Tribolium castaneum: one gene and its partner. The protein of the gene in region 2 binds, or shares a complex with, the protein of the main gene of each other region. Links are inferred from orthologs where the notes say so. Each region holds a gene or a part of one and is shown on either strand. Other genes may lie near its edges.

Region 1 (15,145 bases), on a different chromosome or scaffold from region 2:
TTCCCTTTCATTACAATTAAATATGAGATAACTGATCAGTTTTGATTCCCTTGTAATTAAAAGAACAGCAATAACCGCTTGTTGTCTTCACGAGAGTGAAAATGTCGCTACAATTGCTCTGTTTGGAATTCCAGAAACAATCGGAAATCATTTGCTCGCAAGGTTGTGCCAACTGGAATTACCATTTTAAAATTATTTCACAGGAATTAATAATACCTGAGCCATCAATACATCAGTGGTGTACCCCAAACGTTGCAAAATCGCGATGATTTTTTTATGTTTGGTCCAGTTTATTTGCGAATCGAGTTTAGCCGAAGCCACCAATACTGATAAATTTGCAAAAAAGTTGTCAATTTCGGCCGATGAGACTCTATTGTGTAATCTCAAAAAAACATACGATTTTATGCGAAATATTTGTGCTCTTACAGTTGCCTGATTTTTATTGTTGCGTCTTTGTAGACTACGTTATAATTACAGATGGTAACAGCGGGAAAAGGGACTTCCCAGATGGGGAAAGCAGTGGTGGCGATTGTTGTTGTAATCCGATTAGAATAATAGGAAACGAACTGTGATCTAATTAAAATGAAACACAAACAAGTGCTTATTGTGCACACCAAAGCCCAAAAGTATGATTTGAATTTTGACGATTTTTGGTCGGTTATGTAGCGAAAGCCGTGCAGAGAGGTCTCTTGGAAGTAATTTTTTGTACAACATTGCACCCGATTTATTATCACTTTACCTAAAAAAAATAATACGGCTTTGGTTTAAATCAATCGTAACTTACAGCGCGGCCGTTTCATTATTTCTGTGGGAAATGCAACAAGGTGGGGTTTTATACTCGTAATTAAGACACAGTACAATTAATTCTGTTTTATTGAGTTTTATTACACTTTGATTAAAATCTAATCAGTGTTCATGCTTTCTTCTGTACTTTCTGCGACTAATTCTTCTAATTGCCGGTCTCCAAACTTGTGTTTTACTACAAAACAACTTTTACCAACTACTAATTACCAAAAATGGGCAACGTACCAACATCGATGTTTCTCAAATCGTGAACTAGAAAATTATTAGATTTATTATCCCCTCCTGCCGCTATGACAAACGGCAAATCGGGCGACAAATCCAGGCACTGGACTGTCCCTAAACTAAAATCTTTTTCGAACACGAAAGTGGCTTCATTTTCGGTGTAGTCCCAAATTTTTATCGTCCCATCTGGCGACGATGTGACTAATAAACCGGGACATTGCGGACTCACAACCAACCCAGTGACTTCCTTTTCATGGGCTTCAACAGCCCACACTTGACCTAAATCTCGATTTTATCGACTGAATTTTACTAAAAACTCACTACCTTTTCTACAATCAAAATATTGCAAATTTCCGGTATCACTACCGGCGAAAAATGAAAACGGTTGTAGCGGGTTCCAGACCAGAGTTTCAACCTCCCCATTTATTTTCCACGTCTGATGTGTCTCAGGGTTGCGACAATCGAAAATTTTTGCTTTCTTGTCGCTAGACCCAGCTAGTAAAGTTTGCGCTTCCAGTTTGTGCCACTGCATGCACTGGACCTTGTCTTTGAACGCGGAAATGGTCGTACTTGGAGTTTTGTTCTCCAAGTCCCACAAAAGTATAGTTTTGTCAACTGAACCGCTAGCTAAGACGTGTTCGTAGGTTTTGTTCCAAGCCAAAGTTAAAACTGCGTCTTTGTGGCCGACGTGAGGTCGGTTTTTTTTAATACTTGCGGCTCGGCCTAAATTAAACGCGGGTTCTATGCAGTTAATTATGTCCAAGTCCCAGACTTGGATAATGGGGGTCATGGAACCTATAGCACAGTAACTGCCTTTTGGGGCGTTGGGTTCGTAGTCCAACCATTCGAAACAAAGTGGAAAGGCGGGAAGTAAGATATCGTGGTGGACGTAAAGTGATTCTTCCTCCTCGTTGTAAACTTGGAATAATTATTTTTTTGTTGGTTTTAATTCAAGTACAGTACTTACTGTACACTTCTAGCGAACTTGCGTCACCTTCCACATGTCCAACTAGAATTAAATTATCGTTAGGTTTGATAACTTCGTCTTCTTTGTCCGAATCGTCTGATTCAGAGAAGTTTTCTTCCTCATTATTTTGTAAATCAGCCAGTGAACTTATCCCCAAAGCCTCAGCGGTGCCTTCTAATAAAAAAAAGTCACGTAACGTAACGGTGTCGTAACACTAAGTTCAGTTACCGTCTTGTTCGTCATAATTTTCCAAATTGAACTCATCTTGAGCCGATGATTCACCTTGAGCATTTTCCTCATTTGTGACTCTGTTTTAAAAAACTGATTGGTGACAAGTAACAAAAACTCGAATACGTACCGAAGTTTCTTTTTTGTGGCTTTTATGACTTGTACGAGCTCGGCTTTGGACAATTGGACCTAAAAAACCGAGTCATGAGCGAGGTTACTGTATTTTGTAGATTACCTTTTCGGGTTGGCTTTTTGCCACTCCTTTCTTCACCCACTTGACGCAAGTGATGAAATTAACTCGATTTTCGGTGTCGTTTTCTTCCATTTAGCCAAAATTTTAGTAAAACGAGCTAGGTGTCAAACACACGTGTCGAATGTATTTAAGGTTATAAAAAATAACCTCAGTTTGTATGTTTTCGGCAATTTTTTAAAGAAACTTGACTAAATATGAGTATATGAGTTAATCAAAAAATTGTATTTTTTGTGTGTACCGTTAGCCTAACACGAGGGCCAGCCTTTTTGTATTTAGTCAAAATGTTATTGTTTTTGTGGTTATAAAAACACAACCTCAATTAAAACTTTGACACTTGTCAAACAGAAGATTAAAAATAGTTTTTTGTCAAAATGAGTGCAAAACCGAGTGTGGTTATCGTTAGTAGCAGTAGTACTAAGCCAAAGTCGTTAATTAAGCTCATAACGAAATGTGCGGACATCCAAGAGGACCCCCTTGACTCTACCAAGATCGTCCACACTTGGACAATCGATACCAAATATTATACCGCCGAAGTTGATGTAATTGGGATAACAGAACACCACGAAAGAAGTCAGGCATTTAATGACAACGTCGAGGCTCTAGTAATCCACATAGACACAAACAAGGAAAATGGTTTAAAGGACTTAGAAATGTGGTCCAGTTTACAAGAAGACTGCGATCCCGAGATCAAACTCCTAATCGCAAATTACTGTACCAACGAGACGAAAATCACCAAAGCTGCCGCTACAGAATGGTGTTTAAAGCACGGCTTTGAATTAATAGAACTGTACCCAGGATCGCAAACCTGCGACCAGGACATAATAGAGGAAAAAATTGGTGTTGAAAGGGTTATTGAAGCCCTCCAGACCCACACTTGGTCCAATCTGAATATGAAAAACCAAGAGAAAAACGACTTGAGCGTGAAAAATCAGAAGAAAAACGACAGTGTGGTCGAGTTGTGTGAGGAGTTTCTTACAAGTGAAGGAAGCGATGATTTTAGCGATTTATTCGCACAATTAAGCATGATGAAGGAGAGTTTGCAGTCTTTGCCGATGAATCAGAGGAAACAGTGCGCCGAGCAGGTGGTCACGGCGTTTTGGCGCGCAATTGGGGGAGATGAAGAGGAGATTGCAGATGTGTAAATTATTCCATTGCATTTAATTAAAATATTATAAAATAATTACAAATTAAAATATTACGTATTGTATCGTTATTTAATAAATAAATTTACGTCAGAGTGTGCTGTGACTATTTGACATGTCTGTAACTTTTGGGGTTATAACAATAATAACTGTCAGATGAAATGTAAAATGAAACGGTTTTTTATTTTTTCCTGCTCCCCTATCAGCTGTCTTCCCAAACAAACACCACCTGTTGAATCAGCTGATAGAGGCCACCACTTGGGTGGTGGGGAGAAGCCGTTGAGTCCGCGTGTCCAAAAAATAGAGGGAAAATTAGCGCGCCCGGGAAACGATGGTCCTGTGAGGTTAACTCGGGACTCGGGCGTTTTTCCAAGAACATCACTAAAATAGTCATTTTTGAACCCCCAAAATGGCCGAAGAAGACGAAAGGGTTGAGCCCCGCCGTTCAGCCCGACTGGCTTTAACCGAAATCCACTTTAATGAAGCCAATCACGAAACGCCCAATAAAAACGCCAGTGCCGACGAAATGGTAATTATTCAAAGAGGACCCAGGAGAAAACCCATCATTTGGTCGCCAGTGGATCAAGACAGGACCCCCGCAAGGAAAACGGCCAAGGAAAAGTCCGTTGAGACGTTGCCGAAACGCCCCAGTTTAAACCCGAAACTCAGGAGACGCCTCATTATGAGCCCCACGAAGAATTCAGGGGAGTTGGGACTCGCCATCGCCAAGAAATTGCGAAGCTTGCCGGCTTTCTCACAGGAATTGAGACAGGAAGCGTCACAGATTTAGTTTATAGGTGTGTAGTTTATGTAACAGTTTTTTATTCATGTGCCTTGGAGTATTTTTTTAATAAAATAAAGACGTTCGATTTGTACAATAGTTTTATTTCGTACTACATAAAAATTGCACAAATATTTTATTATTCAATGGGTACCACAGACTTTCTTACAATACTTTTTGCGCTCAGACTAGAAGAATAGTTCAATGAAAAACCAAAAAAACCGTCAGCTTGTTTCAAGAGAAGCGATAAGCCATGTTTTTAATTAAATTTTTAAACAGAGTGGTCTGTGACATTGATAGTTCGTTACCAACTTTCAGTCCCAGGCCACTTTGATCAGAAACGTAATCAAAGCTTAAAAACGAATACAAAACAACTGTATAATGAAATAATTAATTATTGCGTGTAATAGACTCTGTAGTAGAGAGTTTTAGACCTCCATAACGAATAAGAATTATCAAACTTAAGTAAATAAACTCCCTGGCCTGGGTACTGGTGAGACCCTGCATAGACCTCACTCTGGCAGTCCCTCCTATAAACTGGCACGATTTCGGTGAGAAGTGGTTTAGAAATGCCATTAACAGCAACAGAGCCGGCCTCCAAGTCGCCAGTTTGTATCGCTTCTTCATCGTAAATCTCTTCCTCTATGTCTTCCAAGTCTTCGTCATCGCTTTCAGAGACGTGGACCGAAACTTGGTCACTTGTGGGAGTCCCAAATTCGAAATAAACCCCAAAACCGATATCGTAATGATCCGTGGCAAACTCCCAAAAAAGTCTCGTCCCATGCGGATGTGTGGGGACCCTAACAGTAACAGTCTCGCCATGGCCTACTCTCACAACCCCATCACCCTCGGCCTGAGCCACAGTCTGCTTGAATTCGTCGATGCCAGAACGCGTCCACATACTGGCCGGGATTAAACTATTTGAGGAAGATTCGTTTAAATTTATTTCGTCACTTTGATTGTTCTGTAATTATTATTTTATCACATGGGTATGAATAAAAGGGTAATTACCCAATCGGGATCAGTCTTTTCCTCATCGACGCTTTTTATTTGCTCCCCCCTTTGTGCCGCTTGCAATTGTTGCATGTACTGGATGTAGTGCTGATCCTGCAATTGCCTAATAAGAGCGCCCTGTTTTTCGGGATCGCCGGGAAATTGTTGCTCGGCATATTTCCTAAATTGGTCGAAAGTTTGTTCGTTCAGAGCTTGCTGGATTTGCCTCTTGATTGCTTCTTCTTTAGTTAACTGTTCCTGGATTAGTTTGGCTTCTTCCTCCTTCTTTTGCTTCTCCTCTTCTTCAATCAGTCTACGTTTCTCTTCCTCTTTCCTAAAGGCGGGTTTTGAGTGAAAAAATCAAAGGTTTAGTTACGAATTACGCTTTTCTCTCTTGCTCCTTCTTTTCCCGTCTGTGTGCCTCGACATAGGCGGAGAACAGGGGGCACCGCCGACTCAACAGTTCCACGAAACCTGCTCTTGCCTGATCTGTTGATAATTTTCCTAGTTTTTGCCACGCTAATCGCCTATCTTTGCCTACAACGTCTAGTGTTCCTAATGGAGGTAATTTATTTATGGCTTCTGATAATGGACCGTGGAGGACTTGCTGGGAGAAAGCGACGAGTTGTAATTTATCCTCATAACTAAAATGAACGGCCTTGCCTTCCTTTTCTGGAAGAAATTTAATAAAAGTAAGGAAAACGGTGATAACCTTCACGATTTCAAAAACCTTTGTAAAAACTGAAGGCAAGCTTGTAAACTTCGGTCAACGGTAGGCCATATTCTAGGGTATCATTCGATGCGTTATTTACCGAACTTTTCCGTTTTGCGGTTTTTACTTCTAATTTTGAGAAATTTTCCAAAAGTTGTGAGCTGTCACTCTCGGCAGCCATGTTAATTTTTTTGGGGATTTCTTGCGTGACTTTGGTGATATCCCCATTTTTTTGACAATTATTTAACCTCACAAAACGTCGCAAATGGTAATAGTTTCTTTTTGATTTTTGTACAAATAACCGGCGTTTTTACAGGGTAAACATAAAGAGAAATCAAAAAAACATAAAAAAGACAAAAAACGGGAGTGGGCGCGCGAGTCGGGCTCTGACTCATCTTCAGACGAATGGGTTGAAAAAGACAAATATTCGTCTTCTGAGGACGAAACCAGTAAAAATAAACCTAAAGAAAAATCGTCAACTGATCGAGAAGAATGGATGTCTTTGCCGTCCAGTTTTCTAACCGAATCGCATTTGGACAGGAGGCGAAATCGGGAAGAAAACAAACGGTGGGAGAGGGAACGTGAGCAGTACAATCCGAGATCACACTCAAGAGAACTAAATCCGTACTGGAAGGACGGCGGTGATGGTTTACCGAAATTTAAAAAACCGTCCGACGAACACAATTTCTCGTATAAATCAACCAATAGGCCACAGTCATCTTCAAACTGGAAAAAGAAACCATCAGAACAGCCCAAAGAACGTGAAACTAGCCCAGAAGCGCAAGATCAGGGCGAAATTTTATCGGACAAAGAATTAAACGCCCTCGCGGCTAAACTGGTAAAAGCCGAAATAATGGGCAAGACGGAACTGGTGAAGGAACTGAAAGCGAAACTTGAAGCTGCAAGGCAACGGAAAGACTCGTCTAAACCTACGGAAGAAGTTCTCTTGACTCAAACTGACTCTCAGGGTCACACGAGACCCGTGAGACAACAAGCCGATTATGAACCGTCAGGTAGCCGTAAAAGGAAACGCAAAGTTGAGACTCATCAGGATGGACAAAGAGTGCGTTATTTCGCCGATGATGATAAACATTCCCTCCAACAAATGTTTGAAAACGAGAAATTTAATTCAGTGGAAGACCAGAATAGCGAGTTTATGCGAATGGCGAGCAAAGTCCGGAAAAACGACGATTTGGATGAAATATTTTCCGATAACATTCGGAAAAAAGAGGATGGGGCTAAAACTGATAGGAGGAATCGTGACCGGGCGATTAACGAGCATCAAAGAGTGGCTCAAAGCATAGATAATTGTAAATTGTGTCTTCAGTCCGACTCCATGGCCAAACATTTGATGGTTTCGTTAGGCGAGACGGCCTTTTTGAGTTTGCCTCCGTACGAGCCGGTGAACGAAGGCCACTGCTTGATAGCCCCCATAAGACACGTCACGTGTTCCACGCTACTTGACGAAAACGAATGGAGCGACATAATGGACTTCCGAAAGGCTTTAACAAGGATGTTTAGTGCGAAAAATTTGGACGTTATTTTTTTCGAAACGGCCAAAAATCTGGATAGGTATCCCCACATGTACATTGAGTGTATCCCCTTGGGTAAGGAAGAGGGCGACTTGGCCCCCATCTATTTCAAAAAAGCGATAGACGAATGCGAGGCCGAATGGGCCCAAAATAAAAAATTGGTGTCTTTGAAAGGCAAAGACGTGCGCAGGGCTGTTCCAAAAGGCCTCCCGTATTTTTTTGTTTCGTTTGGAATGGAAGAAGGGTTTGCTCACGTTATCGAGGATCAGAAAACTTTCCCCAATAATTTTGCGCAAGAAGTCATCGGCGGAATGCTCGATCTGCACCACAGTAAATGGCGGAAACCTAAATACCAAAGTTTTGACGAGCAAAGCAAACGCGTAGTGGAATTTTCAAAGGAATGGGGCGACTTTGATTACACAAAAAAATAAAATCGCTTAAAATCTATTTTATTCAATAAAAAAAAATTACAAAAATTACACAATCATTTCTAATTCCTTGGCGTATTCAATCGCTTGCTCGGCCAATTCGCACGATGGGATGGGCTCAGTGATTTTCTTGACCTCAGGCGCGAAGTGGAAGAAGTTGTCGCGGCCCAACTTCCACTTCTTATTCTGCAAAAAAATAAAATCTAACGTCCGCATTTCAAATTATCACAAAGCTTAAAGAATTGCGACTTAAGAAAAAATGTAATATACACCTCGGTACCTCGTGATACAATTGACTTACTTTGCCGAAAGTTTTAGCGGCTTCTTCGTTTGCCAAATATAACATTCTTGCGGCATCCTTGAGCGAGATTTTTTCGTACGCTTTTTCCACACAAACGGCGATTTCGCCGCGAATTGTGTCAAGCAAAATATCCATGAAGAAGTTGTAATTTTTTGCCGGCACGTTACCTTTGGCTAAAAATATCTAAAACTCATTCATTAACACGTTGCTCAATGTTTATAAAAAGTAACCTTGTTGTAACTGCCCTCCATTAAATACTGTTCAATTGACAGAGGATGCCTTATGTAAACATCATTCTGAATGTGCTCCGCAGGCAACAGTTCCAGCTCAGTGTGAAATTCCGCGACGCGGTTTTGCGACAACAAAAATAGCAAATTTAAGCCCAACAATTGATACTTAAAGGAAGATTCAGGGAGTTGGTCTTTGTAATCAAAGTAGTAGCACTTTAATTGTGCCATATATCGCTCAAAAGCGGGGATATTACTCGAAGCTATGCTCCATTGTACCCCGATTTCTAGAACGTCCCGTGCTAGTAACAATTCTTGCTTTGAAGCGGACGCATTCGAAGTCGGCAAAAACATCAAATGAGTTAATTCAAGCTGGAAGGAAAAAACACAAATCATCGAACCTAACCTCCCAAATCACTTACCTTCAATTCTGACAATAACTGCTCGACTTTTGCCAGATTTGGCTTCGGGTTGTTCCACTCTGACTTGAGTTGCTTGTAAAGGGTCGTAACGTCGTTAATTTTCGACATTTTTGCAACAAATAGTTGGATGATTTATACAAATTTTTGACAATTGTTCTGTCAATTCTTGTCCCGCGTTTCGTCAGTAGATGTCAGGCTGTTGGTGGAAACCTAAAGTTAGAATTTTCCTTGGATTCGCTCCAAATTAAACACCACCAGGAAAACATGTTTACGATAAGTGGTGTAATTACAATCGGGAATGACTCATGTTTGCTAACAGCTCATAATTCACTTTACAGGTTCCTGTAAATTGTTTGCAAACTGGCAATTTCCTCGTGGGTGTTTTCAAATCACCGCTGTTTTGATTGCAGTAAATCACTCCGGTGATTTAATTGTGGAATATTTGCGTCCGGCGTGAAATATTTTGATCGATTAGTTCGTTTGTTGATATTGGGGACGCCACTTGTGGTGATTTGGGAAAGGTGTGTCCCCCACTCCACTCTCCCAGCCAATCACAGCCGCCGTCACACGCCGGTAATCGACATAAAAGTATTAGAAGCACGCTGAAGTTGTCATTCTGTTAGTAAGCACGTGCAAGAGTGAGTGTAATTGTTGCAACCATGGCCTTCATGATGCCCGTTGTGAAGAACGATTGGGACATATACAAGTCCAATCGTTCCCGCAGGACCTCCGAGTGCTCGAACCCGACGTCCTGCCGTTCCCGCAAAGTGTCGGAATGCAAGAGCGAAGGGCCCAGCCTGTCCACCTCGCCGGGGTCCGACTACATGGTCTCGCCCACCCACCGCAGTGTGCCCGCCAACATGTCCCGACAGTACTCCCGGAACAGCTCCAGGACCTCCCAGAGCAGCCTCCAGAGCCCCATCAAGAGCACGTCCTCGTCGCCGCCAAAAAACGGATCCGAGACAAGTCTCAACAAGTTCCACAACAGGCTTTTGGATAAGTTGAAGAAGTCGCTCAGGAGTAAAGATGCCGAAAGTGAAAGAACGAGTTCCTGAGACGAGGAGCCGAAGGACTCCACCTCCTAGAAAGTGAGGACGATTGAGTGACTGCGACCGTGCTAACCGAACTACGTTGCGTTGTTCAGGTATAGCAATTGGTATATTGCCCTGTGATATGTAGCGAAATTTCTAGATTTATTTAGACTGGTAGGGTTTCTGGAGGCTAGCTCGGTCGGTTTCTAATCATTGACTTATTACTGTCGTCAAAAGTAGATATTTATATGACTATTATTACTGAAAGACTGTTTGTTGGGAGGAAATAGGAGTTTTTAATGAAATATTATATTAAACTTAAGAGCCTATATTTGCTTGTTATCGGAGTTTGCTCCGAATTGCTGCGAGTCAGTCGCAGCAATTTTGAGCAGGACTAGTATATTGCATAGTTTATAAGCAATTGTAATGAGGGCTTTCAAGCGGAGTCTCTCATCTAGAGGAACATTCCAAATCGAAATAGTTTTGCAGTCATATCTAACGAATTACACGTACAATAATACTTATACGAGACCATTTGGTACAATGTAATTCTACGTACTCTTGTACAAATGTGTTCTATACAAATTGCGCCCTTTGTATCGTAATGTTTTGCTACTTATATGGAACCAATTTGTATGTAATATGCAGAAATAAACTTGCCTTATGGCCGTGTGTTACAATCTTTCTTTCTTTCCGCGCCCGAGCGAATGGAAAATTACCAGGCAGCAAGTGTCGCTCGCTTTATACATCATGTTGACTCGCCTTATAAATAGCAATCTAACTTTTATGTGGTATAAAAGGAGAGGCAAATTTCCAACGACTCCGGAATTTTATCATTCACCTTGAGAGTATTGACCCTCAAACGGGTGCAATAGTGGAAATTTTCTCCTGCATCGACCAAACTCGAATGCATTTCTCCCTCGAGGGAGGAAGACGGGGAAAATCGATACGACACGCCTTCGTTTGTACGCGAGCAGACAACCTTCAACGGCCTTTCTGACCTAGCTAAGCTGTATTTTGACTGAGCTTCCGCTAAAAATACCAGGAATTTTGCAAACAGCATCAAGCCCTGGCATTCCTTCAATTATGTTGCACGCCGCCCTAAAGACGCCGTTGGATAACAACACGGAAGACGCTTTGCCGGTTCATGACCTTTACAAACATCGTGGCTTTTTATTAGCCATTTCGGCGAGCATTAAATTTAACAAGTCCAAGTTTTCAATAAATTTGGGGCGATTTAATTTACTGTTTGTTCCGATATCACGGAACGCTTTATGTGGGCAGAACCTTGAATTTTTTACCATTGTATTATTAGAACGCCAGTTACGTAGGTTGAAACATTTCATAACGACCAATTTATTATTTCTCTGATAAGAGTTCAATTCTACGATATTTGTCAACTCCTGCTTGGGCACAATTTGCCTAGTCATTTGCCGAACTGGTAATCCATTAATGAGCGATTAGTCACGTAATTACAGGTAATCGCGCGTAGGTAATTCCTGGCAACATCTGCAACTTTTATAAAAATATTCCATTCATTATCTGGTCGCGATACACCCATTTGCTGGTAGTTTTCCCTGGTGTTGGGTGACTCGCCAGCGAAATTCCTAACAAGTGAGAATAATTTGGCAGTGACTTGTTCGCTAAATGAAAGGCATTGATAGGAAAAAGTCTCGTTCTTTGCTGAATGTCACGTACGGGTTTTTATTATCATAAGTTTAATTTATTCGAGCAACGCCCGTCGAAGAATAACTTTAACTACGTCCTTGAATCGTGAAAACACCTCCAGAATTTCATTTTTTACGACTGATAAGGCGCTTTATTGCTCGTATTTACAAACATTGCGCGTTTGTTTTGACAGTTTTGAGGAAAATAGGTCAACCGAATCAGGTCATTCGTTTCTTATTCGTGTGTTGGACAAAGACGGGGGAGATTTTCCCGGTTCCTTCCAGTGACGTCACGGCTACGTCGTCCTGTGCCCCTTTTCGGGGTGTCTACGTGCACTCTGGCATGAACTGCGTGCAGGAGCGACGCGTTGGTCCTTCTACGTTGCAGGAATTGGAGCAGTTCGATAAATCCACAAATGCATTCATTTCCAACGATAACAAGCGCGCAAACTGGATGCGGACAGATTTATCTGTTGATTAGCGATTTTTGCAGATATGTGGCAATAAAAGTTTGATTAAATCTCTAGCTCCGCCCATAGTTCGCACAGCCACGTCCATCTGTCAGTATTCTAGGCGGAGCTTAATAACACTTGAGTCAAAATAAATTTGCTTTGTACGGACGTCAATGCTCCGACTCTTTTTGGGTTAAATGGTACGCAATCAATTGACATCTATTAGTACATGACACCGTTAATTTATTGCAAAATTGAACAACAAACCGAAATGTATTCATGCGAAGACTCGATAACACAAAATAAATATTTAATGTTACTTCCTGTACGTTGTACAAACAATTGTCAGAGGTGTTTGATTTAAAAATAGATTGATTGGTCCGGAGGCGTGAAACCATCATATGACTTCCGTTTTATCTTGTTGAATTTTTCTTGTAGTCAATTCGAGTGTCAAATATTTGGCAGAAGAAAAATTGGCGGTGAGACAAAGCCAGTGTTTTTGTAATCTAAAATTGTTAACGGTTAGATTTCTGGCGCCAGATGCTCACATGCTCCAAACAACGCCAACGGTTTAAATTAATAAACTTGACGCTTTTCACGATACGAGATTAAAATAAGTGAAAATTGGGGCTCGGGAACGAGATTAGCTCCAGCTACTCTATTTGCGCTTATCGGTTACGTAAGTGATAAAACTGATAATAGGTGCGACGCTACTGGTGGTCTATTCTTAAAAGGGCGCCGTTTTTTATATTTTACATTCTAAAATATCCATATTCTTTTTTCTAAAGCCGCTCAAAGTAAAAAAAAAATAAGTAGCTTTTGCGCTGGCTTTTATAGACAGCGGTTTATTTAAAAAGCAATTTCACTTTTGAACACTAAAGCGAGATCGATTGACTGCATCACTGTGTGTACTTAATGTGCAAGTGTTGGAAAATTTGAGATTACAGGAAAATTCTGGAAGATTTCCTATTGTATCTAGTGGAAATCGCGAAGTGTAAACAAACCGGCGTTTATTGCAAATAAAGTGATAAAATCAGCGATAAATGCGATCAAGATTCCGTGAATTATGGCGCCCAAGATGCGTTCCATCAGAAATATTTGCCTCGATTTCAAGAATTATTAAATTTAAACGGCATTGAGTGCGTAATTTTGGTCTATTTTTGACTTAATTGTGCTAGATCTCGGCCACAAGGCGAAATATTGACACTTTGTGGAATCAATTTCGACGCAAAATCCTTTATATGGGCGCTAATAAGACACTTCTAAAAGAGTAACACTTTATGAGCGCATTCAATGGCGTCGTTGTCATCTCATTACCGTCATGTTTATGTTTAGTCAATAAAAATCGGCAAATTAATCCCGCAATATAGTTACTCTCACCGGATTTATCCGGCTCTTTGTGCTTTTTTCGTATCAATGAATAACACAACAATTTTTAATTAATTCGTAATTTGTTTATCAAACTTTGGGAAACCAAATTAGCCTGTTTATACGTAAAACATCAACAGGCTAATGTGTGTCCCGAATTGTTGTGGATAATTAAGTTTGCAACTTGCGAAAAACAACGGGTTAATTGGTGATAAAATAGCCGTTTTTTCTTTTTTTTGAACGGCAACAGTAAGTTTCAGTTGCAGAAATAAACGGTTAATTTAACAATGATTGTAAGATCATTCAGGGCAATTTGTAACAAACTTTAACAATTCTAACAATTTCTTGCGAAATTTCCAATCAGCTCTTCTAATAATTATGTTTATGTGTACTTTTATCCTTGATGTAACGCGTCTGCGGCCTTGGATATTGTTTTCAGGATTATTTTTTGCCCAAGTGATGCGACAAAGTGCACGCGTGTCGCAAATTCAGATTACAATTGAGCGTCAAAGAGTTAAGTTTTGACGTCATCGTCGTCTGGAATTTCAGAAAAATTAGCCCATGTAGCGAGAAAGAATGCCGCGCGTTGTTAATAAATAATTCATTTGCGAAGTTTAAAAATAAATACGCTTCTTCATGTGGTAATTGTACGATTGGACATTGACTATAAATAGAGAAATAATGTTGTTTTTGTTGTTCAAAGGCGCACCCATTACTTGTCGTAAACAAATTCGAATCCAGTTTAGAAAAATGGAAAAGTGAATCCTGAAATGGGATTTCACGGTCCACTTCGGTCGGTTGTTTTGCCTCAAAAACCTTGACCTACCGTTATCCCACACGTGACGTAACCCAAAAGTCGAAGACCTTATCAGAAATTGCTTATTGTTCTCAAATTTCTCTTTTTCCCCTCTCTCTGACTTTCTAATACGAAAAAAGAGTGACTCAAAGCGTAAATCTATTACGTACAATTTTTCCACCTTCCTTCCACTTGTGATCAATTTTCGCGAATTGAAATTTAATTAGCGCTTTTTATGACGAAATTGGCACTCAAAAGTGCCGCTAACGATGTTAGCATTTACCACTAAATAAAGGATCAGTGGGCAAGGTAGGAGTAATTAAAGGTGTTTCTTTGATGAATTTTTCCACCCTGGGATTATTCACGGTACAATACGAACTCCTCTAACTAAAATGCGCAGTTGTTGAGAAGGTCAGTTAGGGATAAGGTCGTACCGAAATCAATACCCCTGAATTCAAGGCCTGAAAAACTGGGGGTTGACCAATCGCTTGAAATTTTGTCTAGGTCGGGAACGGCCAAAAAGGGAATGTTTTCGTTGCGTAATTATTCTTGTTTTGAACAGTTTATTTTTACTAGAGTGGGGGCTAAAAGTTGGCAAACATCGTCATAAATATGCCGGTGACAACCCGTCCTAAATTGGCTCGTCGACACTATTTTTAGATAGTCAAACAAAAGTTGTAATTCTCGAGGCGCATTACTTTTATTGTCGATTTTCAACGGAATCAATACAATATCGGTTTTATGGTGATGACGTATTCAGAGGATCGGTCTTGGTGGCGACATCTCGGGGAAACCCAACGGGGCAGCGATTGGGAACAC
Region 2 (15,570 bases):
GGAATGTTATATATACAAAGTTTTTTTGCTTCCACACTTTGGCCGCTGAGTATTCTTCACTCACATGGCAAATCAGATCACTTTATTTCGCACTAAAATTATTATACATGGTGTTTATGATATAATTGAGCATTTTTTTAAAGTATCCCGTTTGTGAAATATTGAAAACCGTCGTAAAGTTTCGTTGATAGTGAGTGAATACTGACTTCCACCATACGATTCACTTCGAGTTGTAACTGCTCCTCGGTCATACTCATGTGGAAACGGTTCTTCAAATTCTGGACAGTCGCTGCGCCCGATTTAAAACACGGCAATTGCGAACCTGAAACAAGGTTAAAAACACACTGTACAGAGAAAATTTGACGGCTCTAGCGCCATTTTTAACCGAGATATGCAGGTGGCCGCAAAATTGTGGTCACCCGGTATGACAAGAAAATTCTTAGTTCAGCTATTTTTACCGTAAAAGAACCGAATTTTAAAGAAAAAAAAATGTGTACGTCGTAAAACAACCCACAAAAACTGAATTTAAAGTCAAAAAATAACATTTCCCAAAATTCAACAAACTACAGTCAAACCTACTTCACCCGAATAAACTTAAAACCGACATCTTTTCTTACGTAAAACGACCCGCTGAATCCAAAAATGAAAGAATTATTCACGTACGATGCACCGTTTGGAAAATATAAGTTTTTGAAAAAAAACCTACCTGATCTCATAATCTCGACCAATGGAACAATCATATCCATATGTTTCCTTGCAGCGACCAATCCTTGCAAAATTAAAATCTTAAAATACTCAAACATATCCGACTGATCACCACCCATGACTTCAACAAACTCAGCCGTTAATTTAAACGGCGACGTTTCGAATCCTAAATTTTTCGGTGACATACTCAGTATAAAACCGAAATCGATATGAATTAAATGACCATCACTTTTCAACAAAATATTTCCATTATGTCGATCTTTCACTTGTATCAAATAACAAAAGAGACAATAGGCGGCACAACTTTGTACGAAATTTTTCTGAGCTGTCAAAAATTCCTCACACGTTATTGGTCCATACTCATTGATAAAGTACTCCAACAGTGACAATTGTCGATGTTTTTTGATTTGATGGAGTGAGACAGTATTCAAAATGGGTTCAATCAACCCACTATCATTTGATAGACAAAGTATGCGATATGGGTGCACCCATAATGGTACATGTTCCATCTCCCATATTTTCTGGAACATTTGTAAAAGTTGCGATGCCATTAATTCCTGACGCAAATCATCGCCACATTTCACTATCACTGACAGTAGCGTCCATGATGTCAAATGCCCATATGGGCTACATTCACGAATACGTCTCTCCTTATCATGCCATGGTTCCTTCAGCACTGCGGCAGAAGGATCCTGAGGATCATGGGTGAACTGTTTATTTTTTTCCTCATGAATTGAATCAGACAAACGTCTGCGTATTTCCCCGGCTGCTATCCACATCGGGGGTTCCCTCGAATCACTCGATTCTTGTGACATTTGCGACAACGTATCGCGATCAGCTATACGTTTCAATTGCGTATACTGAAAAAAAATATATAGTTTGAGGCACTCACTTGCCTCGTGCTGTAAACCAAAAATTACCTGTTGCGATATTTCATCATCCTCCTGACTCCAATCGGGGTCAGTATCATCACACAAACCCCCACACATACTAAACGCCGATAATGAGGTCGTATCACCTAAATTTTCCTCAGATTTTGTGTGACGTAACGTTGGCCATATTTTTGGTGTAACAATTGACGTATGCAAATCATCAACTTCCACCACTTCGACATAGATAATATAAGGTGCCTTATCTTTGGAATTTAAGACGGCGCCAACTTGTGGCGGTATCCTAACAATGTGATGTGGGGTCGTTGCTAGGGGTAACCAAACACGAGCCGGCAAATTCAAATTAAGTGTCGTTAATTCCGCTACTAATCTTGTAGTTTTTGCTTCCTTGGTCGGTATAGAAGACAGTAATTTACCGATTGAAATCAGCGCTTTCATAAATTCAAGCTCGGGGGCGAGTCTAGGAGCCTAAAAACGCATTTTTAGAAAAGGGGTCGTCAGTTTCTAAAAGGGGTCGGGATTTTCTAAAAGGGGTCGGGATTTTCTAAAAGGGGTAGGACTTGTATTTTAAGCCTGGGGACCGAAATTAACATTTTCTGAAAAGGGGTACCCCTTACCGAGCACGTGCATTCAGTCTTTTTGCCTCGTAGGTCATTGACGACGCCTCTGCAACTGTCGAAACATGTGCATCCGTTGTCAAAGGCACGACCGGAGGTGAGGTCGCCCATACAGAGGCGTTTGTCGGTGGTTGAAGGGCGTCGTGTACCAAGGGCTGAAGCGTCGCTTTGTGAACGTTGATGTGATTTTTTCGTAGTTGTTGAATGTAGAGTGCTAAAGGTGGTAGAGACCATGATGGGTGTTTTATGGTCTTTGGGTCGAAGTTCGTCGGAAAGTATAAGATTACGAAGTTTGATGCCGAGTGGTTTCTTTTTCGATGGTACTGAAGCATCAGAACTATAGGCGTCCAAAAGCCAGGCACATTTTAGCGAAAAGTCGATCGATTTTCTACACCTGAAAGGGGTACACGGGGGTTTTTGGTCATTTTATCCAAAAAACTAAATCATAAATATCTCATTCCGACATTCAAACAGGGAAGAAGGGATAATTTTGGGCATTTTAGAATCGCAAAAAGGGGTATTTTAACAAGTTTTTGCAACAAAAGGCTCAAATATGTCTTTATTTCAACTAGCAGGAAGTCAAAAAAAATATAATAACAAATTTTTATCTCTTTTCCACATCTGAGAAAAGGGGTATAGGGGTACATAGTTAAAAAAAATCATAATTTGTATATATGAACCGTAAAATTGATGTAGAAAGGGTAGAAAAACATCAGATGTTCAACTTTTAACTTTGAGTCACTCACTACGCTCGTCCTTACCTATGTATAAGATACGGATGTATAACTTCAGCCACGTCGTGCATTTGTATATACATACAAACCAATTGTGGCAAATAAAAATCCACTTCTCCATCATCAAAACTAAACATCTTATTCGCTATATAACTTTGCACACCTGGTTCTTTACTTTTAAACAGATAATGCATTGCCATTGACACATCAAACACTTTACTCTCCAATAATCTCAACATTCCAAATCCTTTACTCGTTTCATTGGATTGTGATAGTGTTGTTGTTGGTGTTATACAACACTCGGCTTTCGTCTCGTCAACGCTTGATTCACGCGTTGTTGTACTTGTATCGCTTGAACCCGAATCACTTCCACACAATATACCCGAATCATCCGACCCCAAACTGGCAAGTTCATCACGTGTTGTTTTGGGGTCGACTATCGGTGGTACAACTACAACAACAGTCGGTTCACATTCGGGACTTGGTGTAACGTCCACTTCGGGAATACGCTGAAGGGCCGAATCAAGACTGCGATTGCGATGGTGAAGGGTGAGGTGGGGGGAGGTGGAAGACGTTATCTGGGCGACAGGAGGGAGCAAAATACCCATCGACCTAAAAAAAAACATTTTTCGTCTCTAAATTACAGAAAAAAAACTATAAAAAATAGTTGACTCACTCGCACCAACGCGTTTTTTTTTTTCGAAAAAAAAAAATAAATAAAAAAAATTGTTGGGTCACTCGTGCGTTTTTAAACGCCCCACAATCACTCGCTTAAGCACGATTTTTTCCTCGTTTTAATTAACTAATTAGGTTGTAATTAGGCAAACACTTTCGACAGACACACACACAAGTGAAATCTTATTTATTTACAAAATATATGTAGGTAGAGATTGTTGAGTAAATCGGAAACGAGTAGTAGGCCGCGCTCGAGAAAACAAATTATTAATATAATGCGCTTTTGTTTCACAGCTGGTTTGATTAAGTTTCTATTTCTGTTCAGTACTTTATTACCTAAAGTCCAAACTCAAATTCCTTTGATGATTGCTTAGTCTGATCTTGTTATTGAGATGGTTGTTGGGTCGTCCATGGACTGATGGTACTGTTGTATCTTTACACCCAACGAATTTTGGCCGTTTTACGTGGGCCGCCATGGGTTGTTGTTGTACTTCGCTCATTTCGAATACGTCATTCCATTGTCGGTATCACAGACCTGAAGAACCATTTCTTATCACAATGGTCGGAAAAATGTTTCATTTCCGCATAATTTGAGATAAAGAAGGCTCGGAGGTCAAGAATGTTTGAGAATTTATTTCAATCAATTATTTTTAACCGAATCCTGTTTTTCTATAAACACGTAATTGGTGACAGTTTTTTTTGGCCCATTGTGACATCAAATTTATTTTTAGCAAAATTTCAACCAAAAATAAGTGAATCACAAATGTCGTGACTACTTGATTCATTTTTTGAAACAGAATTTTTCCACATAATACAAAACCAGAGATAAGATAACGTGCAATAATTTGACAATTAATGCAACGATAAATACGAAATTTTAAATTTTTAAAGAACTTTTCAAACCTTTTCTTGCTAAATTTGTAATTGTTTTTTTAAAGAAAAATTAGTTGTTTTGCTCCTAAATTATCATTACCTTACACATCAGTTTTTTTTTTAAATTCAACAGTATTATTATCAGAAAATTAACATTAAAAACGCGTGACACAAACATCGCAAGTTTGTGATGACCTTAGCCACAATATAAATTAATTTGAATACTTTAAAAATAAAAACGTTTAAAAATAAAATAAAAACAGTCTCTAATTCTGGTTGGCATTTTATTTTTTAATTAAAAAACAGTTTTTTTTTACTTTTTGCCACTGTAAGGTAATGTCATGGTTTAATTAAAACAATTCATAAATCTTTTTGTTTTTATTTCATTTGAACACTCGTTTGAGTAGTTCCCCTTTAATTATTTCCATTATAGTTGAACTTCAGTATCTTACAATTTTTTGTAAATTTTTCATAGCCAATTAGGAAATCACTGCCTTTTTCAGATATTTTTTTAATTTGATTTCTTCTACTTAGGAATAGTTATAAAAAAAGACAAAACTAATTATTTAGATTTTAGAAGGTCGACTATTTTCAGATACTAACCGGCAATTAGCAGCCAACTGTGATTTAAAAAAAATATATATTTCAATATGTAATTCAATTTTTCATGGCCAACGGAGTACCAAATTGTTACCTAACCAAAAATAGAATCAAAAAACCATATAAATTTAGATAAATTCTGGAATTTATAACTAAAATTTTTGATAGGAATGTTAAACTTTTCATGGCCACGGAGATTTTTTACAAAACAAATTCATAGCCACCTAAACAAAACAGAAAAACACTGTTTCATCCAATTTTGAGCAAAAATAACAAACACACAGTTTAATTTGTTTGCCTTACTGTGACACCAAATTTATAGAAAAACGACTAAAAATTAGATTTTTTGTTTAGTTATAAAATTATAAAAATAGAAACAAAAACCATAAATTTTGATAAATTCTTCGGTATTTAAACCAAAACATTTGATAGAAATGTAAAATTTTTCATGGCCACGCAGATTTTTTTAAGACTAATTCATGGCCACCTAATTAATTTCGTTTTAGTGTCCAAAGATTAGTGAATCTTTTGTTAATTAAAAAATTAGACAAAAATGTATTATCCATCTAAAAACAGCTTGTTAGATCAAAAAATTTAGATGGAAATGCCAAATTTTCCTGGCCAAGCTGATTATTTATTATAACTTTTACGACAAAATTCCGGTTTTTACCAAATTTACCGCGCCCACTTGATTTTTATAACAGTTTATTCAATTGTTTTTGACACAATTTTTCATGGCTAACTATGTTAGAATAAAAAAAAACATAAACTTAGATAAATTCTTCAATTTTTAAACCAAAATAATTGATGGAAGCGTAGATTTCATGACAAATTCATGGCCACCTGATTAATTTTTGTTTTAACGCATTTTTAAGCGAAAATAATTCAATTATCAGCATTAAGTTATTTCACTTTCCCACAAACTAGAGCTTGTCAGATCAAAAAATTTAACAAAAACGTCAAATTTTTCATAGCCAAACTGATTATTAAAGTAATTGTATGTCTCAATCAATTGTTTTTGGCATAATTTTTCATGGCCACCTTAGGAACAATAATAAATTTTTGTTTTTTTATCCCCAGCCACTTTGATCGATTTGCATGTCAACAAACTTTCACCCTTTAAATTCGATCCTTGACCTCTCCAATCTTATCACGTTATCAATCCATTGTTTTGATACCCATTTTGTCACACCCTTCACCGCCGCCTTCGATATATTCCAACGCACGCCAAATCCGTGCCCTAGATTAATTTTGGGGACACAAGACCCCCGAAATGGGTGTGTCCCGACCCCAAAAACACCCCAAACAATAAATTGGACCTACGTTTGCGAATAAACTTTCTAATAAATTGTGGAGAAATCCGGACAAACGTCACACATACACCAAACACTGGAATATCCTCAAAGGGGGCGCACTTGCACACATGCACGCCACTTCCGGTCCCGGGACGCTTTTCCGCCGGAAATAACTCGATTTTAAGTGCAAAAAACGGGATTTTTAACGCAATCACAACACAACTGCCACGGTAAAGACGCCATGTTATGCACACTAGTGACGGGAGAGGGGGACGTGCGCTACCAACCACACACCAAAAACCCCCCATTCACACCAAAATTCCTGAGATAATTTTGAGGAATTTCGAGATAATTGGCACATTTTTCCGACAGTGAGTCACCAAATGACGCGAATGCGACGTTTCGCACTTCACAAAACACCCCCAAGCCTTTTTATTTACGTTCCAGATTGAGGCTTTGGGTGCAGGTGCACCCAAAAGGCCTTGAAACTATGCAAAATTAAAACGAGTGGAACTGTGGTTTGTGGAGGCGTTTTTGCCCCAAAAAAACTACGAATAATCGTAAAAGTGTTTTTTGTACTTACGGGTCTAGTGTGGCAACACTGACGTTTTTTTCGAAAAATTGACACACGATTGCTTGATGCATCAAGGGTTGATAACAAATTATGACCTTGCTGATGCAAAATTTACTTTTTCGAGGTCATTCAACCGGAAAAAAAATCGAGAAAAGTGTGTCATTGGAAATGAAAGTATCGGAAGTTGTAATTGCTAGAAATCCGTAAAAATCGAGTTATTAGATTATTAACCATCAGTGTTAACGCACTCGTTACGGTGATTTATGGCCGTTTTTTACAAAAAATGTGTTTAGTGAATTAGCGATTACTTAATACAATATCAAGGTCACACAACCGTACCATGCAGCGACAACAAATTATTCTTTTGTATTGTTTTTACCTCTCATCTCAATAATGTAAACAAGAAATTCCATTTGATGCGGCTTTGTTTTACGATATACTTGGGTTTTTTACGAGTGTCATGTAATAAGTTTTTATTGTAGCGATAAAATTTCGAGTGTTTGACCCAATTTATGGTTTTAGTGACCCTAAATGTGAATGGTTGGGGCAAAGGTTGCGAATTGATAAGGAACGTGCGTTTTAGAAACCCAAAAAATCGAAAAAAGCGATATCTAAACGGACATACTCGAAAAACGCGAGTTCGAATCCTGGCAAAATCAGTTTTTTTTTTCGTTTTTTTTTCCTTTACACAATCAAAATCAGTTTTTTTATTTTTTCTTCTTCCTTTATTTTACTAAGAATACGGCAAGTTAGACCCAAAGTATTTTGGTATTTTTATTTTATTTTTTTAATTTTTGGGTGACATGACAATAACCTCAAAATCAGTTCGAAACGTCAAAATTCCCGTCATGTGGCCCCTCCTCTTGCTCCTCCTCCTCCAGCACATCCGTCCCGCCCATCCCTCCGACGCGCACGTCCTCAGCCTATCCGACACCAACTTCCACCGCCAGCTCCGCCTCAACCCCACCCTGCTCGTCCAGTTCTTCATTCCGTGGAGCGGCATGTGCCAAAAGACCCGCCCCCATTTCGCACGCGCCGCCCACATTCTATCCACCAACCAAATCCCCGTAACTCTCGCAAAAATCGACTGTTCTGGAAGGGGTCGCACGACATGTACCCAAAAAAACATCACCTACCCCTTTCCCGTGTTCCACTTCTACCGTAACGGAAGCTTCGTCAAGGAGTACACCGGGTCTAGAGATGCCCGCAGTATTGTGAAATTTATGCGCGTTCAAGTGGTGCCAAATCCGGTCGAGTTGGTGGATTTTGAGCACTTTCGGCAGTTTATTGAAGGGCAGGATGATGTAATTGTTGTGGGTTTTTTCGAAGAGGAGACGAAGCTACGGAGGATTTTTTTCCGTGTCGCGGAGGAGATGAAAGAGAGTATGATTTTTGCGTACTCTAGTTGTGAGAAGGTGATTTTGAAGCAAGGTGTTAGTAATGGGATTGTGGTTTTTCGGCCAAAAAGTCTCCACAATCAGTATGAACCAGAACGGGTACTTTTCACAGGGAGGAGTATCATTGGGGAGATAAAAAATTTTATTACACGGAACTACCACGGTTTAATTGGCCACAGAACGCCCAACAATCGACACGATTTTCCCAACCCTTTGGTCATCGTCTACCACACAATCGACTATCACTCCGGTGGTACCGAATTAAATTACTGGCGCTATCGTTTGATTAAAATCGCCCATAAGTACCAAAACTTCGTCAAAATCGCCACAAGTGCTACCGACGATTTCGAAGACGAAATTTCCGACCTCCGGACCGATAACCTCACCCCCACTAACCCCCTGGTTGTGGCATTTGACCTCGAGAACCAAAAATACGTCATGGTGGAACCTTTCACCACCTCAACTTTTGATAACTTCGTCCAGAACTTCATCAACCGGAAACTGACTCCCTACTATCGCTCCAAACCCATCCCCAAGGAAAACGACGGTCCTGTGATCATTGCCGTCACCCAGAACTTCAACCACACGGTGACCAACAACGGCAAAGACACGCTTCTCGATTTGTACACTCCGTGGAGTCTCAAATGCCAGAAGTTTGTTCCGGTTTTGCGTGAAGTTGCCGAGCTTTTGGAGCACGAAGATGTGGCTTTTGTCCGAATGGATGCCGTGGAGAATCAAGTGCCTGAAGTGTTCAACGAGAAAGGGATACCGAATATTTTCTGGTTGGCCAAGAACAGGAAAAGGGGGCCGGTGGTGTACGAGGGGGAGAGGAGTGCCGAGGAAGTTGTCAAGTTTGTGGCGAAGAAGGCGACCAAAGAGTTGAAGAATTATGATAGGAAGGGGAATCCCAAGGATGATCGAGACGAGTTGTAATTAATTTTTGAGAATAAAAAATTTTTTTTTTATTGATTTTGTCAGGTCAGGATTTTTTTAAATAGATTAAATAACTGACTGCCCAATAATTTGTTCAAAATCTTAATCGTTTATATATTGTCATTTGCACATTAATTATTTCGACTTTCTAATTATTTCATCTGCCACACTGTCAGGAAGGAAAAAATAAATCAATTTGGCTCAAATTTTATGCCTTTTGTCTAATGCGTCGCATTAAAAGAAAAAAAAACAAGAAAAAAAACTGACTTTGCCGGGATTCGAACTCACGTTTTTCGGAATTCCAGTTAAATGAGTGGCTAAATATTTAACTCTGATCATCATTGTGTTTTACGTAAAATATCATCGCTATTCGAAAATGATACATTTTAGTATTTTCTCTCCCTCGTCAGTTTTTTGCCGTTTAAAATTAAAAAAAAAATTGGCTTGGGCGGGCTTTGAACTCATGTTTTTTGGTATTTTACTTGAATATTTGGAATTTTTTTTCATCTGGGACGAATAATTGTGTTTACATTTTTATTAAATGATGGAAATAAAAAATTGCGGCAATGACCTAATTAAAAGTTAACTTTTTGGATTAATAAATAAATCAAGGAATGGCTCGTTAGCTCAGGTGGTTAGAGCGCCGGCCTAAAAATTTGAACTTCGGAGGACGCAGGTTCGAATCCTGCACGAGCCCGGTTTATTTTTATTAATTTTATCTGGAAAACAGATCAACACAACACTAAGGCGTGTTTAAAATTAAAAAAAAAAAAGAATCGATAATCAAAATTTTTCAATAAATTCCAAAAAACGTGGATTGGAATCCACCAAAGCCTGTTTTTTATGTTACTTTTCAATTTTTTGACGCTTGCAAACAGAATATTCAAATTTTGGTTAAAAATCGCTGACATTTATTATGAAAATTGTAAGAAATGGTTTAAAAAAAACAAACAGAGTTAATTGAATTCTACAAGACCAGGGTTCACATCCCACTCCAGTTATCTTTTTTTTAATATAAACAAATTAAAATTATAAACACCGGAAGTCAAAATAGTCCCACATTCGTTATTTGCGCATTTAAATCAATAACATAAGCCAAAATTGCAAAAAATAACATCAAAGACCCAAAAATTGATATAGGCACAGGTTCAAACCCCGCCCCAGCCAATCTTTTTTTTTTATTTTTTTAACGTTTTAAAGCTGATTTCGATGTTGCATGTCAGTAAGAAACCTCCGGATGTTAGTAATAACCCTAATAATACCAAGTTCGTAGCGTAATAGCAAGACACTATTACACTCCTAATAACAGTATTTGTAACTGAGGAATGTTGGATAAAAATAAAACACAAAAAATCGATTTAATTTTTTTATTTCGTAAAAAATACTCAAGCCTTAAGCCACAAGCGCCGAAGCGGTGCTAGACTCATACTTCCAATTGGGGGCCAAAACATTTTTAGTTTTGTAATATCTGGCCAATCTGTGAATCCTCGACTCGACCAAAATCAGGCGAAACTTGCTGTCTTTATCCTTGCGATTTCTCTCCAAGTGTTTCCTGATCGCTACGGCTTTTTTAATCAAGTAGTACAAGTCTTCGGGTAAATCAGGCGCAAGCCCCATTGCTTTCATAATGCGCAGAATTTTATTACCAGTCACAAATCTGACCTGAGCCACGCCATGGGAATCCCTCAAGGTCACGCCGATTTGTGAGGGAGTTAGGCCTTTTTTACCCAACTTGAAAATGTAGTCTTTGACCTCATCGGGGGTCACTTTGAGCCACGTGGGCACACTGCGACGGTAAGGTAACGCCGATTGGGCGATACCTTTGCTAGAAAAACGAAAAAACTTGATAAACCACGAGGTGACATAACCTCATTTTTTTGGTGTTTTTTTTCCCAAATGGTCGAATTTTGTACATTAGAGGGTGGATCAAGGGTTGGAAAAGGGGGTACTTACCCAGGTGCGTGCATACGACCCATTTTAAGGCTAAATTATTCCTAAATCTGTGGGTAAACCAGCACACAAGCACTAGAAACGTAAAAGGGATTTTTGGTGACGTGGGTTGGTAACACCAATTGTACCAAAGGCGGCACATTTAAATAAATCATTGATTTTTTTTGTCGTAAGGCGTGTACGAAGGGTCGAGGGAATTTTCTCACAGTGTTGTCGGCAAGACAGGATGTGTATGTAACGCTTCAAGTGACTGAACACGGACTTAATCATTTGTAAGGGATTGTAACAAAGGAACGGAAACTACAGTTGAAAAGGTCTTCAAGGGGTCATTATCATTATAAGTGTCGGATTTTATTTATTACGTCTGTGAGACGGTTCAATTAATTAAAAGGGGACGAGATGGTCGTGAAAGTTTACTTTTACTTATAAATTGGGCAAAAAAGAAAGTTAAATAAGTGTTAGAGAATTAATTAATAATGATGGTTTTTCGTTTGTTCCACGGAATTCTTCCTCTCGTTCTACGTAGTGTACCAGCATTTCACGAGATTTAAAAGTTTTTTGCTTAAAATTTTCCGCTCCCACTTAAAAATGCTAAAACGGCCTCCAAAAACTTCAAAATTTTGAGAAAAAAAATTGATAAAATCCATCCATTTTGACAGATTAAAAAAAAGTTAAAATGTTTACATTTTTGTGACTTTTTTATTTTTTATTTTTTTATTTTTATTTATTTTTTTATTTTAAGACTAATAAAAAACGTTTTACTTCATTGAATTCTACAGTTCATTTTACGTATTTTACCAGATTTTTATAAAATTTAAAATTTTTATTTTTTTTACCTACAATTTTAGTGGTTAAAAATAAAAAAAAATCAAATTCGCTCTAACAAAGTTTTATGGACTTTTTTACACCTTAAAAATGCAAAACGTCAATTGTTTCGATTTTTTGATGTTTTATTTTTCCTGTCGTTACCATCCTTTTAATTTAATAATTTCTAGGGCTTTTCATTAAAAAAAAAACAAAACAAATTCCCATCAATCAAAGGTCACTGATAAGTATAATAACTCGCACAATCAACAATTTTAAAACGATTACAAACAACAGAACAATTTCATACATTTTATCAGTCATGTTTATCGAATCACGTGATTCATTTCACTATCAAATAATTTCTAGAAAAAACTACCAACAACAGACAAACCGATTTGAGTCCAATTGATTCACAATCGACGCAATTTCACCCGACAAAAAGGTAATTATCTAATTATTTTATCAACATTACGATAATTGTGCCATATTTTGCGAATTGTGATTGGTTTGTTGTGATTACGGGCCGTTTTAATTGAATCACCTTGTATACCTACATATTTTATGCGCCACCTGACGGCAGTCACCTCTAACTCATCTCAAGGTGAAAAAAGACAGTTGATTTGACAAGTGACAGTGACAGACGTCAAAAAAACACTTAAAAAGTGAAAAACACAACGAAATTAGGGCATTAGTGACGTCTTAATCGAACAAATAATTAATTAATTGCCAAATTTTCGTACAATTCTTTAAAACACCGTGCATTTGATTGGTGTAAAATATTGCGACAAAAACGCATCGTCCTCTAGCATAATGCCCCTGATTGATGGTATCGGCGATGAAGTGACGCATTTTTTTATCGCACTGTTGGTAATGTTAGTCGGTAAGGCGCCCCGATGCCGCCGACTGCCCCACTAGCCCCCCTGTTTCAGTGTCTTTAGCCTGGTGGACGACAAGCATTTCGGAGCAAAGACACGTCCAGACCGTGTGGCTGCTGGACCGCCGCCGGCACAGGCCGCCACGCAGGCTCACCAACCACACGCATGCCGTCACAATAGCCGAAGGTGCGCCCCCCAAAAAACCCAAACTATCTCAAATGCATTTGTAGGCACAACCAGTCCAGCGGAGCCCCCCAAGCCCCCCGAGCCAGGCTCGAGCTCCGAGGACGACCGCAGCCGCATTGTGGAGGCCATGGACGAGGGGGCCCCCGAAAGGGGCCCCGCGGGGCCCACCCCCAAAACCGACATCACAATCAAGCTTAAATACATCAACGACGACCTCAAATTGGTCGACGGCAAGTTGCAGGAACTATTAGGCGATTTTAAAAAGTAAGTGAGGCTAGGTTTACCTTTTGGCATTGTGGGGACTCACCTGATGGATTCTGGGACAATTGGGGGTCAGGGGCACCACAACACGCACAAAACTGTCGATTTATCACGTTTTTCACCCAAATTTTTTGATTTTTAAGTGATTAACACCAACACTTTCAATGTTGGTACCAACCTGACAAGATAAAAAAAACAGGTTTTGTTAAAAAATCGAAATTGGCCTTCCAGGCGCCACTTTCACGTGGAGTTGGCCTCCAATAAGCTCGTGCGCCTCATCTTCAACGGCCAGGTGCTCCAACAGGACACCAAAACGCTAGAAGGTTGCGGACTTTTTGACAACTGTGTCGTCCACTGTCTCATCCACCAGCGAAGACCAGCCCCCGGGGAAGAGTCGCAAGAATCCCGCAGCGAACAATCCCACAATCCCCGCCCAAATCTTAATAATAACAATAATCAAGGGCGGGATTGGGATCTAGGGAATTTTCTTTTTGCCATTATTAGTTTTACACTACTGTCAGCCTGGTATTTCAGGTAAAGTACACAAGTACACACAATTTTTACGTTTTACTTTAACTGGAGTTTACAGGTACGTTTATGCTCATTTGTATACGGTTACGGCCACAGTGGGGCTCATTTTAATGACGGGTGTTTTCACAATTGTACTTTTCGGGTTTTATTTCCCCGACCATGAGCACATACCGCAACGGGGCGGCGAGACGGCTCATTAATTGTTTGTAATTAATTAATTTATATGAATGTTCGAATAAATTTTATTAAATCATGTTTTGTACACTGTAGTTTTCTGTTTTACCCACACTCGTAATAACGTTCCCGCAAGTCTGCCACTTATTTTAGACACTCGTACAACAATTACGTAAGTCGCAAAGGGGCAAAAATCCCAATTATGTGTGGAATTTACATTTATTTTGCTCACAACGTCGCGACTTGTCCAGTTATCTGCATTACCGGCCGTTGGTATTGCCTGATTTTCCACACAGTGGGTGATTCCCGGTGATCGGGTGCCACGTCTCGCCCTTTTAACCCCATAACTGGACACAAAACGTGCCAAAAGGCCCGTTTAAGTGTGTAATTCCCCTTTGGGTAAATTTTTACTTTAGCTACTTCTGGATTTTTGAAAATTTTTTTTTTGCATTTTGCTTTAAAAAGCCTCTAGATCAAAGATATGACCATGAAAGTTTGTGCAAATGCCCCGTTTTCGAAAAATTCGACTTTGAATGACCTAAAAAATAAATTAAAAACACAACCAACAAAAAAATTAATTTGTAGGAAAGTTACAACAAGCGACTTTAACAAATATTATACAGAATAAAGAATACACAATACGGTATAATATATGGCACACAAGCTATTAAATCAACACATCACAAGATAAAACGCAAAAAAATGCACCTACCTTCATATGGCTTCTGCGTTGGCTACTGTTTGTAGCATTAAAAAAAATAATAATAAAAATGAAACCAAAAAAAATGTTTATTTGCATTAAATTTTGAGCAAGCCACTTTCATTCATTGAAATTAAAGGCAAAATTTCGTGGCAATAAATTATTTGAGTGGTTTATTTTATTTATAGTTACTGTATTTAAAATGTGTCACTCAAAATATCACTTTTCAATACCGCATTTAAAGATTTTAATTGCAATTAAGTTTTATGAAATTATTGGTTTTTTGAAATAAATAAATACGACACAGCAATAAAATACACCTACCTTCATATCGCTTCCACGTTGGCTACCGTTTGTAGCATTAAAAAAAATAATAATAAAAATGAAACCAAAAAAAATGTTTATTTGCATTAAATTTTGAGCAAGCCACTTTCATTCATTGAAATTAAAGGCAAAATTTCGTGGCAATAAATTATTTGAGTGGTTTATTTTATTTATAGTTACTGTATTTAAAATGTGTCACTCAAAATATCACTTTTCAATACCGCATTTAAAGATTTTAATTGCAATTAAGTTTTATGAAATTATTGGTTTTTTGAAATAAATAAATACGACACAGCAATAAAATACACCTACCTTCATATCGCTTCCACGTTGGCTACCGTTTGTAGCATTAAAAAAAATAATAATAAACATGAAACCAAAAAAAATGTTTATTTGCATTAAATTTTGAGCAAGCCACTTTCATTCATTGAAATTAAAGGCAAAATTTCGTGGCAATAAATTATTTGAG

What was found.
Region 1: the proteins of fwd (region 2) and Golgi resident protein GCP60 are in contact, whole or in part, in an NMR structure (PDB 2N73), measured with the Homo sapiens proteins. The link is inferred for Tribolium castaneum from reciprocal best matches to the Homo sapiens genes PI4KB and ACBD3. Residues at the interface, in NP_001317650.1 of Homo sapiens: Val37, Gly38, Val42, Ile43, Asp44, Pro45, Val47, Ala48, Gln49, Lys50, Ala51, Cys52, Glu54, Val55, Leu56, Val59, Lys60, His63; in NP_073572.2 of Homo sapiens: Gln245, Ile246, Ala249, Leu250, Gln253, Thr254, Gln257, Phe258, Tyr261, Gln265, Tyr266, Leu276, Leu280, Gln283, His284, Gln287, Tyr288, Gln291, Leu292, Val295.

Annotation. Positions count from the first base shown.
Region 1 is NC_087402.1:2,409,154-2,424,298, reverse strand, and holds Golgi resident protein GCP60, read right to left. Parts: upstream 6,284-15,145; coding exon 6,121-6,283; intron 6,063-6,120; coding exon 5,774-6,062; intron 5,725-5,773; coding exon 5,409-5,724; intron 5,362-5,408; coding exon 4,792-5,361; 3' UTR 4,481-4,791; downstream 1-4,480. Other genes in the region: pickpocket protein 28, read right to left, coding at 33-172, 217-225; nclb (periodic tryptophan protein 1 homolog), read right to left, coding at 903-979, 1,030-1,305, 1,351-1,944, 1,994-2,167, 2,222-2,301, 2,352-2,410, 2,457-2,546; alpha- and gamma-adaptin-binding protein p34, read left to right, coding at 2,846-3,616; CWF19-like protein 2 homolog, read left to right, coding at 6,368-6,370, 6,419-8,065; 26S proteasome non-ATPase regulatory subunit 8, read right to left, coding at 8,111-8,248, 8,364-8,546, 8,594-8,962, 9,013-9,120; uncharacterized protein LOC100187736, read left to right, coding at 9,672-10,067. UniProt on the Homo sapiens protein: Involved in the maintenance of Golgi structure by interacting with giantin, affecting protein transport between the endoplasmic reticulum and Golgi. Involved in hormone-induced steroid biosynthesis in testicular Leydig cells.
Region 2 is NC_087400.1:4,120,988-4,136,557, reverse strand, and holds the start of fwd (phosphatidylinositol 4-kinase beta), read right to left. Parts: upstream 6,671-15,570; 5' UTR 6,418-6,670; intron 4,157-6,417; 5' UTR 4,122-4,156; coding exon 3,958-4,121; intron 3,559-3,957; coding exon 2,974-3,558; intron 2,607-2,973; coding exon 2,213-2,606; intron 2,064-2,212; coding exon 707-2,063; intron 323-706; coding exon 138-322; 3' UTR 1-137. Other genes in the region: protein disulfide-isomerase A3, read left to right, coding at 7,767-9,293; small ribosomal subunit protein uS15, read right to left, coding at 10,686-11,118, 11,247-11,269; transmembrane and ubiquitin-like domain-containing protein 1, read left to right, coding at 12,861-12,930, 12,980-13,111, 13,156-13,375, 13,604-13,906, 13,962-14,103. UniProt on the Homo sapiens protein: Phosphorylates phosphatidylinositol (PI) in the first committed step in the production of the second messenger inositol-1,4,5,-trisphosphate (PIP). May regulate Golgi disintegration/reorganization during mitosis, possibly via its phosphorylation.